2 linked regions of the Danio rerio genome follow. The main gene of each other region encodes a partner of the protein of the gene in region 2 in a complex. Links are inferred from orthologs where the notes say so. Each region holds a gene or a part of one and is shown on either strand. Other genes may lie near its edges.

Region 1 (3,826 bases), on a different chromosome or scaffold from region 2:
TTTAGTAATTTTTTTTATAGTTGATATGAGTGCAATAATACACACCATTACGGGATTGGACACGGACACATGACTAGCAGCATGAGAAAGGTGTAATCTTGAAAGTGCAATGTTTACATTTTGCATTTTATTTTACGATTAAGCATTTTTGAAAATTGGTTCATATTTTGTTCAGATTTATTTACAATTTCTGGAATTAAACATTTGTCCCGATGTTCTAAGTAAATTGAGAAATATGATCACACATGAATGAGTACTTTTCTGATTATGTACTTTAAATTTTAAAAAAGTATTAGTCCTTTAAATGTGGTCAATATACACTCACCGGCCACTTTATTAGGTACACCTTACTAGTACCGAGTTAAACCCACTTTTGCCTTCAGAAGTGCCAAAATCCTTCATGATATAGATTCAACAAGGTACTGGAAATATTCTTCAGAGATTTTGCTCCATATTGACATGATAGCATCACCCAATTGCTGCAGATTGGTCGGCTGCACATCTGTGATGCCAATCTCCCACTCCCAAAGATGCTCTATTAGATTGAAGTCCGGTGACTGTGGAGGCCATTTGAGAACTCATTGTCATGTTCAAGAAACCAGTACGAGATGATTCACACTTTATGACATGGCACATTATCCTGCTGGAAGTAGCCATCAGAAGATGGGTACACTGTGGTCATAAAGGGATGGATGTGGTCAGCAACAATATCAGGTAGGCTGTGGTGTTGACACAATGCCCAATTGGTATTAACGGGAGCAAGATGTGTCAAGAAAATATCCTCCTCACCGTTACACCACCACCAGCATCCTGAACCGTTGAAACAAGGCAGGATGGATCCATGCTTTCAGGTTGTGGACGCCAAATTCTGACCCTATCATCCAAATATTGCAGCAGATGCACTGATGCTGATGCACTCATTAGAAAAGGCAACATTTTTTTCAATCTTCGATTTTGGTGAGCCTGTGCAAATTGTTGCCTCAGTTTCCTTTTTCTTAGCAGACAGGAGTGGCACTCGGTGTGGTCTTCTGCTGCTGTTGATCATTTGCTTCAAGGGTTTGACATGTTGTGCGTTTACAGATGTTCTTCTGCATATCTCAGTTGTAACAGTGGTTATTCGCCTCGGACCTCTGGTGTCCACATAACTACCGCTCACTGGATATTTTCTCTTTTTCTGACTATTTTCTGTAAACCCTAGAGATGGTTGTGCATGGAAATCCCAGTAGATCAGCAGATTCTGAAATACTCAGAGCAGCCCACCTGGCACAACCATGCCGTGTTCAAAGTTACATAAATCACCTTTCTTCCCCATTCTGATACTCGATTTGAACAGCAGCAGATCATCTTGATCATGTCTACATGCCTAAATGCATTGAGTTGCTGCCATGTGATTGGCTGCATAGAAATTTTGCATTAATGAGCAGTTGGACAGGTGTACTTAATAAAGTGGCCGATAAGTTTATATATACACCATTAATTGATTGAATTTACAGAAATGGTACCATATCGTGATATATATCGTATCGGGATATGAAATTACTTAAATCGTGACATGCTTTTTGTCATATGGACCAGACATACTGAAACGAATGCAGTGTTTCAGTGGAGATTCAAGCTGTGGCTCCATTTAAAGTGTAAAATCTAAAGCTGTGACATCTTCAATTATTCTTCTTTATTTTCAGGCATATTCTTGTGTTTCTTTTAAACAGCGGCTATGACTTTGGGTACCTGATTAAAATTTTGTCCAACTCGAAGTTGCCAGATGAAGAGGTCGACTTCTTTGAGATTCTTCGTTTATTTTTCCCCATCATTTATGATGTGAAATACCTCATGAAGAGCTGTAAGAACTTGAAGGTATTTTATTATTACTGTTAAGAAATTAGCAGCATGTGTGAAATGTGCTGTAAAAACATGTTTCTCATTTGAAACTAATATGTATATATGTCTACAATTATTTCTGCTTGCTTGTAAGTCACTTAAAAGAAAATGCATTTATTTTTATTAAGTTGTTTTCTATTTAGATATTTTGAAAGTCACTTAAAGACATCTGTAATTTTTCTAACTATATTTCTATTTACCAATTTTTATCTGAACAACATTTCTGAATTTTTTTAATATATTTCTAAAGTGCTGTTTAACATTTTTTCAAAACATTTAAACATAATAGATTTAATAACGAATGATATTTCTGTTGTCTTTGCCATTATGAATAGATAATATTTACTAATGTTCCCATAGTTTTTGTAAATACATTTCTATTTACCACTAAATGATTTTATTTATTAAAAACATTTTTTTGTGATTTTAAGTAATCCTAAAGTGGTTTAAGGTAGTTACTAAGGTTAACTGGGCAAATAGGATACTACTGGTACTAGGATAAATTGGACAGCAGTGGTTTGTTACATTTTTGCCAAACTAAAACATAAAATAAAAAATTGTTAAATAAATAAAATACCTAAATTATTAAAAGTTTTTAAATAAAATACTTTCTGCAGAAAAAAATATATAATTGAAAATACTGAAATTTTTCTGGCTCTGTTAAACATCACTTGGAAAAATAAATAAATAATAAATATTTATTTATAAATAATAATAATACACAGGCGACATGAGATGATAATTGTTTTCAAGGTTTAAAAACCGCCACGATTTTCTGCTATGCCACTCCTGTGGTAAGATTTTTATTTATTTTCTTTTTTGTTTTTTTAGGACAACAGAAAGAAAAGAAATCTCCAGCAGAAAAGATATCCAATGATGTGGTTTTAAATAGTAAAGAAGTCTGTGTTTCCAAATTATATACATATGACCATGAAACCGTGATATTTTTATCTGTCACACGTCAGAATCTTATACCAGCCCATGCCTAACATTGATATGTTTTTGTTAACCAGTAAAAAAAAAAAAGGCATAATGCGTTTTGTGTGTGTGTGTGCGTGCGTGTGCGTGCTTTGCAAAATAAACCTGAGTGTGAATGCTTTTTAAAGGCATCACAGTTTTTGGATGGCAGCACTGTCGTCAGTGCAGCACTGAAGTATGAAGTGTGTGTATGTGTAAGTGTGATTTGTGCTGTGCTGCGCAGGGTGGCCTGCAGGAGGTGGCAGAGCAGCTGGAGCTGGAGAGAATCGGACCTCAGCATCAAGCAGGCTCTGATTCGCTCCTCACAGGAATGGCTTTCTTCAAGATGAGAGAGGTGTGCCTTCAGCTAAACAATAGCCAAAAAAATGCTAATCTTATTTGATATGTTAAAGTGGCACTGCATACTGACTTTAAGAACATTGTCATTGCAGATGTTTTTTGAAGATCACATTGATGATGCAAAGTATTGTGGTCACTTATACGGACTGGGTTCAGGCTCATCCTATGTCCAGAACGGTACCGGAAATGCCTACGAGGAGGAGGCCAACAAGCAGCAGTCATGACACAACAACAATCCCTCACCATAAACAACCTCATATACAGGGCTTAAAACTTGGCTTTTTAGTTGTCCTTGTTTTGTTTTCCATGAGAGATTTGATAGGAATTTGCACTTTAAAGCTCCAATCCAACAGATCGGAGAAAAACTTCTTCCCTTTGTTGCCTTCTCTGGGTTAAATCTTTTCACACAAAGTTCATCTTTTATAGTTAAAGAAGACGAACCATTTGGTGTTTTAGGTTTTTTTTCCCTCCCACAGCTCAGCCTTAATATTAAGCTACTTTTTACGTTCTTCTTTTTTTATCGTTAATTTATTGCATTCGTTTCTTCTTGTGTATTGTTGCGTGGTTCATCGACTGATTGCACCGGTCACCTACATGAACTGTCATTCCCTGATCACTGACTCCTCACACT
Region 2 (4,523 bases):
TTTGGGCCCAAAAGTGTTTCGATGTGTGGGCTGCAGTAGAGATCTAAAATTTGTAATCCCGCTCCCGGGGGTTGATGTGTTCGCGAACGGAGGAGCAAAGGCAAAAACCACCCAGCTACATGATACAGGGTCCAGACAGCCTATAACAAGCTGTCTGTATAAGCACACACACACATAGATGCACAGCCCCAAGCAAGCGACACACAGCATCACACTCTCACATTCACACACATACATACACGTGCTCGCTCGGGAGTCGAGAGCGATATTGTTAGACCGCCCCCTCCAATTCAAATAACAACAGTTACCGACCGCTCCCACACTTAATTTAGAAATTTATACCATGATACAAGAAATCTAGTCGAGTCCTGCGGCTGTACAATGGGAGCTGCGGGACTCGACTAGATTTCTTGCATCATGGTATAAATCATTCCACAAGATGTTGGTAAATAAAAATGACTATTATTTACAAGAATGTAATAAATTGATCAAAAATTACTTTTTTCTAAAATATTTGAATCATACTGATGTCATATGTCAAAGCTAAATCAATGTTTAATATATAGAAAGAGATGAATAAAACAGTGTCCATAATGTGCCATTTATCTCAAAAAATATATTATATATGTTAATATTGAATAATTTATTAAAAAAAGATTAAACCCTATGATTAAAAAATAAATATCATTTTGGTGCATCCTTAATTTTCCTCTCCAACTCAAAGCCTTCACTTTTAGCATCCCTTAATAGAGACATCAGTGATACCATACCTGATTCTTCAAGGTCATCAGCGTCTGCTTCAAGGTGCTGCTTGTTGTCTGCCCACTTTTATAAAACTCAGTGACCGCTTTGTTCATTGTAATCTTGTAGTCCTCTTTGTTCAGCTCCTGAAGGTTGTCAAGATATTTCAGAGACTCGTCATAGCTTCCAGTCTGGAAGAAAAACGCAATATAATGTCACAGAGATCTGGAAAAAATAATCACAAAAAATATGTCTTTCACAGACATCTATATAATAACTATTTACCTTAAACGCCTCGAAAGCATTGGTTGCAACCTCTTTCTCTAAATCCGACATCCCAGGGGATGAAGCGATGTCATGCTTCATGTCACCAGATTGATCTTAAAAGAAAACAGATGCAGTTAATGACAGGACATATTCAACTCATGCAGTATTCAATTGAGGTAAAGATTGTTTTATTTTCGCACATTCGTTCAGTGAAAACAACTTGTGACTAGGCATTGGGCAATAACCGTTTACAAGGTATACCAGGTTTGAAAAAGTCAAGGTTTTAAACCCGCAAAAATGCTCTACTGTACCATTCCTAAGATAAGTGTAAGAATGTTTTTTTTTTTTTTTACGTTTTTTAGGATAACAGTATCTCCAACAGAAAATATATTTAAAGATGCCATTTTAAATTGTAATGAAATCAGTGTTTTTGAAAATAATGAAGACAGCAGAGGTCAATGACTCATTTAAATTATGTAGTTTGACATGTTTAGAGCTCCAAAATATTATAAATGTTTCTCAAAATAAAATATATTGAGTTCAATGGGGAATAGTTTTTTTTTAATAATAATAGAGCAATTATCAAAATAATGTGAAACCATGAGATTTTTATCCAAGGTTATCATCCTGTGAGAATTCTTTAGCCTACTTGTGACATGCTCACTACATAGTTTAGCATGGTAATTAAAATATATTCAGTCTGAAATCACACCGAATTATAACTTGAAAACAACATCAGCACTATTTATTTGACTGTGAACAATGTTGTACTTTAAAAGTCTAATATGATTTCAATATTTAGAATTTGCAAAGAATATTTTTTTTTTAATTATGTTAAGGAAAAAGTCAGAATGTGTGAATGAATATAAAACTAACTTTACCTCAATACTGAGGTAAAGTTGGTTTTATATTTACACATTAATTCGGTGTCAACTTGTGACACACTCCCTATTAGAGGCAAAGTTGGTTTTATATTTGCACATTTGTTTATTTGGAAGTCTCTATATTGTTTACCATGGTACTTTGAATATTCGATCGGAATTAGCATGCAAGTGTGACTTAAAAACAACATCAACACTGTTTAATTGACTTTGATAGTCACTGGCTGCTAGTATGATTTCGCCATTTAGAGTTTGCAAATAATAATTTTATGAAATTATATTATTAAGGAAAAGTCTGAATGTGCAAATATAAAACCAACTTTACCTCTATTACCTCAATGAATATCCACGGACAGCACTGACAGCCATTATATGACTGCAAACTGCACTAAACAATAAAAACAAAAGCATTTGTCATATATTTAAACAGCTATTTAAATAAAATGCTAACTCAAAATCCTAAATGTTACACAATAATATGCATTAAAGCATTATTTATATTCTAAACTAACTATAAACAACATAACTCATTTAACGTACAAGCATTACTGGGCAAGTTCATTAACAGTTAGCTATCTATTTAGACGTTGTTATTCAAACTATGCACTGTAAACCAAACTACAAACTTTTATAAAGCTACAAATGTAAAACTTATAAACAAAACAAGAATCTGTTTGCGGTAAAATCCTCTGTTTACATGCCCGGCTGCGCTGGAGAACAGCTGCAGTGTTTTGCAAGACCCGCTGTATGTCAAACACGCCGCCTACCTGAGCCTGTTTCAGCCATTCCTTCAGTTATATGGACGATAATTCACTTTTTCAACAGATAAAGGTGTAATTAATTCCACAATTTGAACCGACGGAGAGAAAACGGAGAAGGTGTGTCTCTTCTTAGCAGCTTCAGAATTCCGCCATGAATATTACCCACAACCGCCGCGCGAGTGTTTTTTTCAAACCGGAATTTATGTTCGCGATTGACATCTATCGGGTTGGAGGAAAAACTACAACTATTTTTTTTTATAGTTCACTCAAAATACGATAACATTCTGTCATCGTTTAACAATCGTTAACAACCTGTTTGACTTACTTTCTACAGTTGAACACCTGTAACCATGACAGATTCGCCTCGCCCCTTTACTACAAACTAGTACGTTAGAAAAGTAGGTGTGCTAGACCTTTTTTATAAAATGCACAATTGCACATTATGCTTTGCGTGTAAGCATGAGTCAAGTCAAGTCAACTTTAATGTCAATCAAACCATGCAACAGTACATTACACAGCAGACTGAAACTGCGTTTCTCCCACACTCCAATGTGCAATTTAAAAACAAAAATATGACACACACTAGACATAAACTAAACATTTAACTAATATAGTACAAGATAAATTAAATAATAGACACTAATAAACTGTGAACAGCTACCATGTATCCTAAGAACAGCTACCATATATCCTAAAACAGCTACCATATATCCAGCTACCATATATCCCATAAGAAGGATGCTTTGAACTTCTGGTCTGCAGCTTGATGTGTATCTTCAAGGAGCTTAGAATGACCAAGCAGCGACACTCAATAGAACATTCCAATGCAACAGCAGCGCCCATTTCACCATCCAGCTTATCCAGCAAGTTTTTATGCAGCGGATGCCCTTCCAGCTGCAACCCATCTCTGGGAAACATCCACACACACATTCACACACACACTCACTACAGAAAATTTAGCTTTCCCAATTCACCTGTACCGCATGTCTTTGGACTGTGGGGGAAACAGGAGCACCCGGAGGAAACGCAGGGAGAACATGCAAACTCCACATAGAAACGCCAACTGATTCGAGGCTTGAACCAGCGACCCAACGACCTTCCTGCTGTGAGGTGACAGCACTACCTACTGCGCCGCTGCCTCATGAAAAGCAGCTGTTTTGTTTTTTATTTATTCATTTAAAAAGCCGACAAAGCTGAAATACAACCTGAAAGACGACAATACAACACTTACAATCATAGACTGGTGATTATCAGCACTTTTAATAGTTTACTTTACAGAATGTTTAATAAATTAACCATATTTGTTTTCTTGAAACTGTCCCTTTTAGGTGAAATTACTTTAAGTTACTTTAATAGTTTTCGGACTGGCATATTACCTACTGACATGTTAAAATAAATTAACATGACTTTCAATATGGGATGTTGATAACAGATTAGCAGTACTTTTTGTTGGAGCATTATATTATAATAGTACATGGTATTTTCTTCAGTGTTGTCTATTAAAAAAGACTTTCCTTCTTTTTAAAAAGCTTCTTTCTCCAAATTTATTTATACATACAGTACATACATATATACACACACACACACACACACACACACACATATATATATATATATATATATATATATATATATATATATATATATATATATATATATATATATATATATTTTTTTTTTTTTTTTTTTTTTGTATACTCATTTTTTCTCCACCCTAATTTGAGTAAAACAAAACAAAAAAATAGTAATTAAGTTATTTTGTTAACCTTACTTTTATGTTACATGTAAAACATATATTTTAAATATCAGATGTATTAAACAGTCTTGACAACATTTTGAATATTGTCTGTTTCCATTGGCATATTGTTTTAAA

The links.
Region 1: cnot10 (region 2) and cnot7 share a complex: the UniProt entries of both Homo sapiens proteins name them as parts of the CCR4-NOT complex. The link is inferred for Danio rerio from reciprocal best matches to the Homo sapiens genes CNOT10 and CNOT7.

What each region holds. Positions count from the first base shown.
Region 1 is NC_133189.1:34,925,913-34,929,738, forward strand, and holds part of cnot7 (CCR4-NOT transcription complex subunit 7), read left to right. Parts: intron 1-1,682; coding exon of another isoform or gene 1,683-1,709; coding exon 1,710-1,854; intron 1,855-3,079; coding exon 3,080-3,190; intron 3,191-3,287; coding exon 3,288-3,419; 3' UTR 3,420-3,826. UniProt on the Homo sapiens protein: Has 3'-5' poly(A) exoribonuclease activity for synthetic poly(A) RNA substrate. Its function seems to be partially redundant with that of CNOT8.
Region 2 is NC_133191.1:8,035,984-8,040,506, reverse strand, and holds the start of cnot10 (CCR4-NOT transcription complex subunit 10), read right to left. Parts: upstream 2,826-4,523; 5' UTR 2,676-2,825; coding exon 2,657-2,675; intron 2,278-2,656; exon of another isoform or gene 2,215-2,277; intron 1,122-2,214; coding exon 1,027-1,121; intron 933-1,026; coding exon 771-932; intron 1-770. UniProt on the Homo sapiens protein: Component of the CCR4-NOT complex which is one of the major cellular mRNA deadenylases and is linked to various cellular processes including bulk mRNA degradation, miRNA-mediated repression, translational repression during translational initiation and general transcription regulation.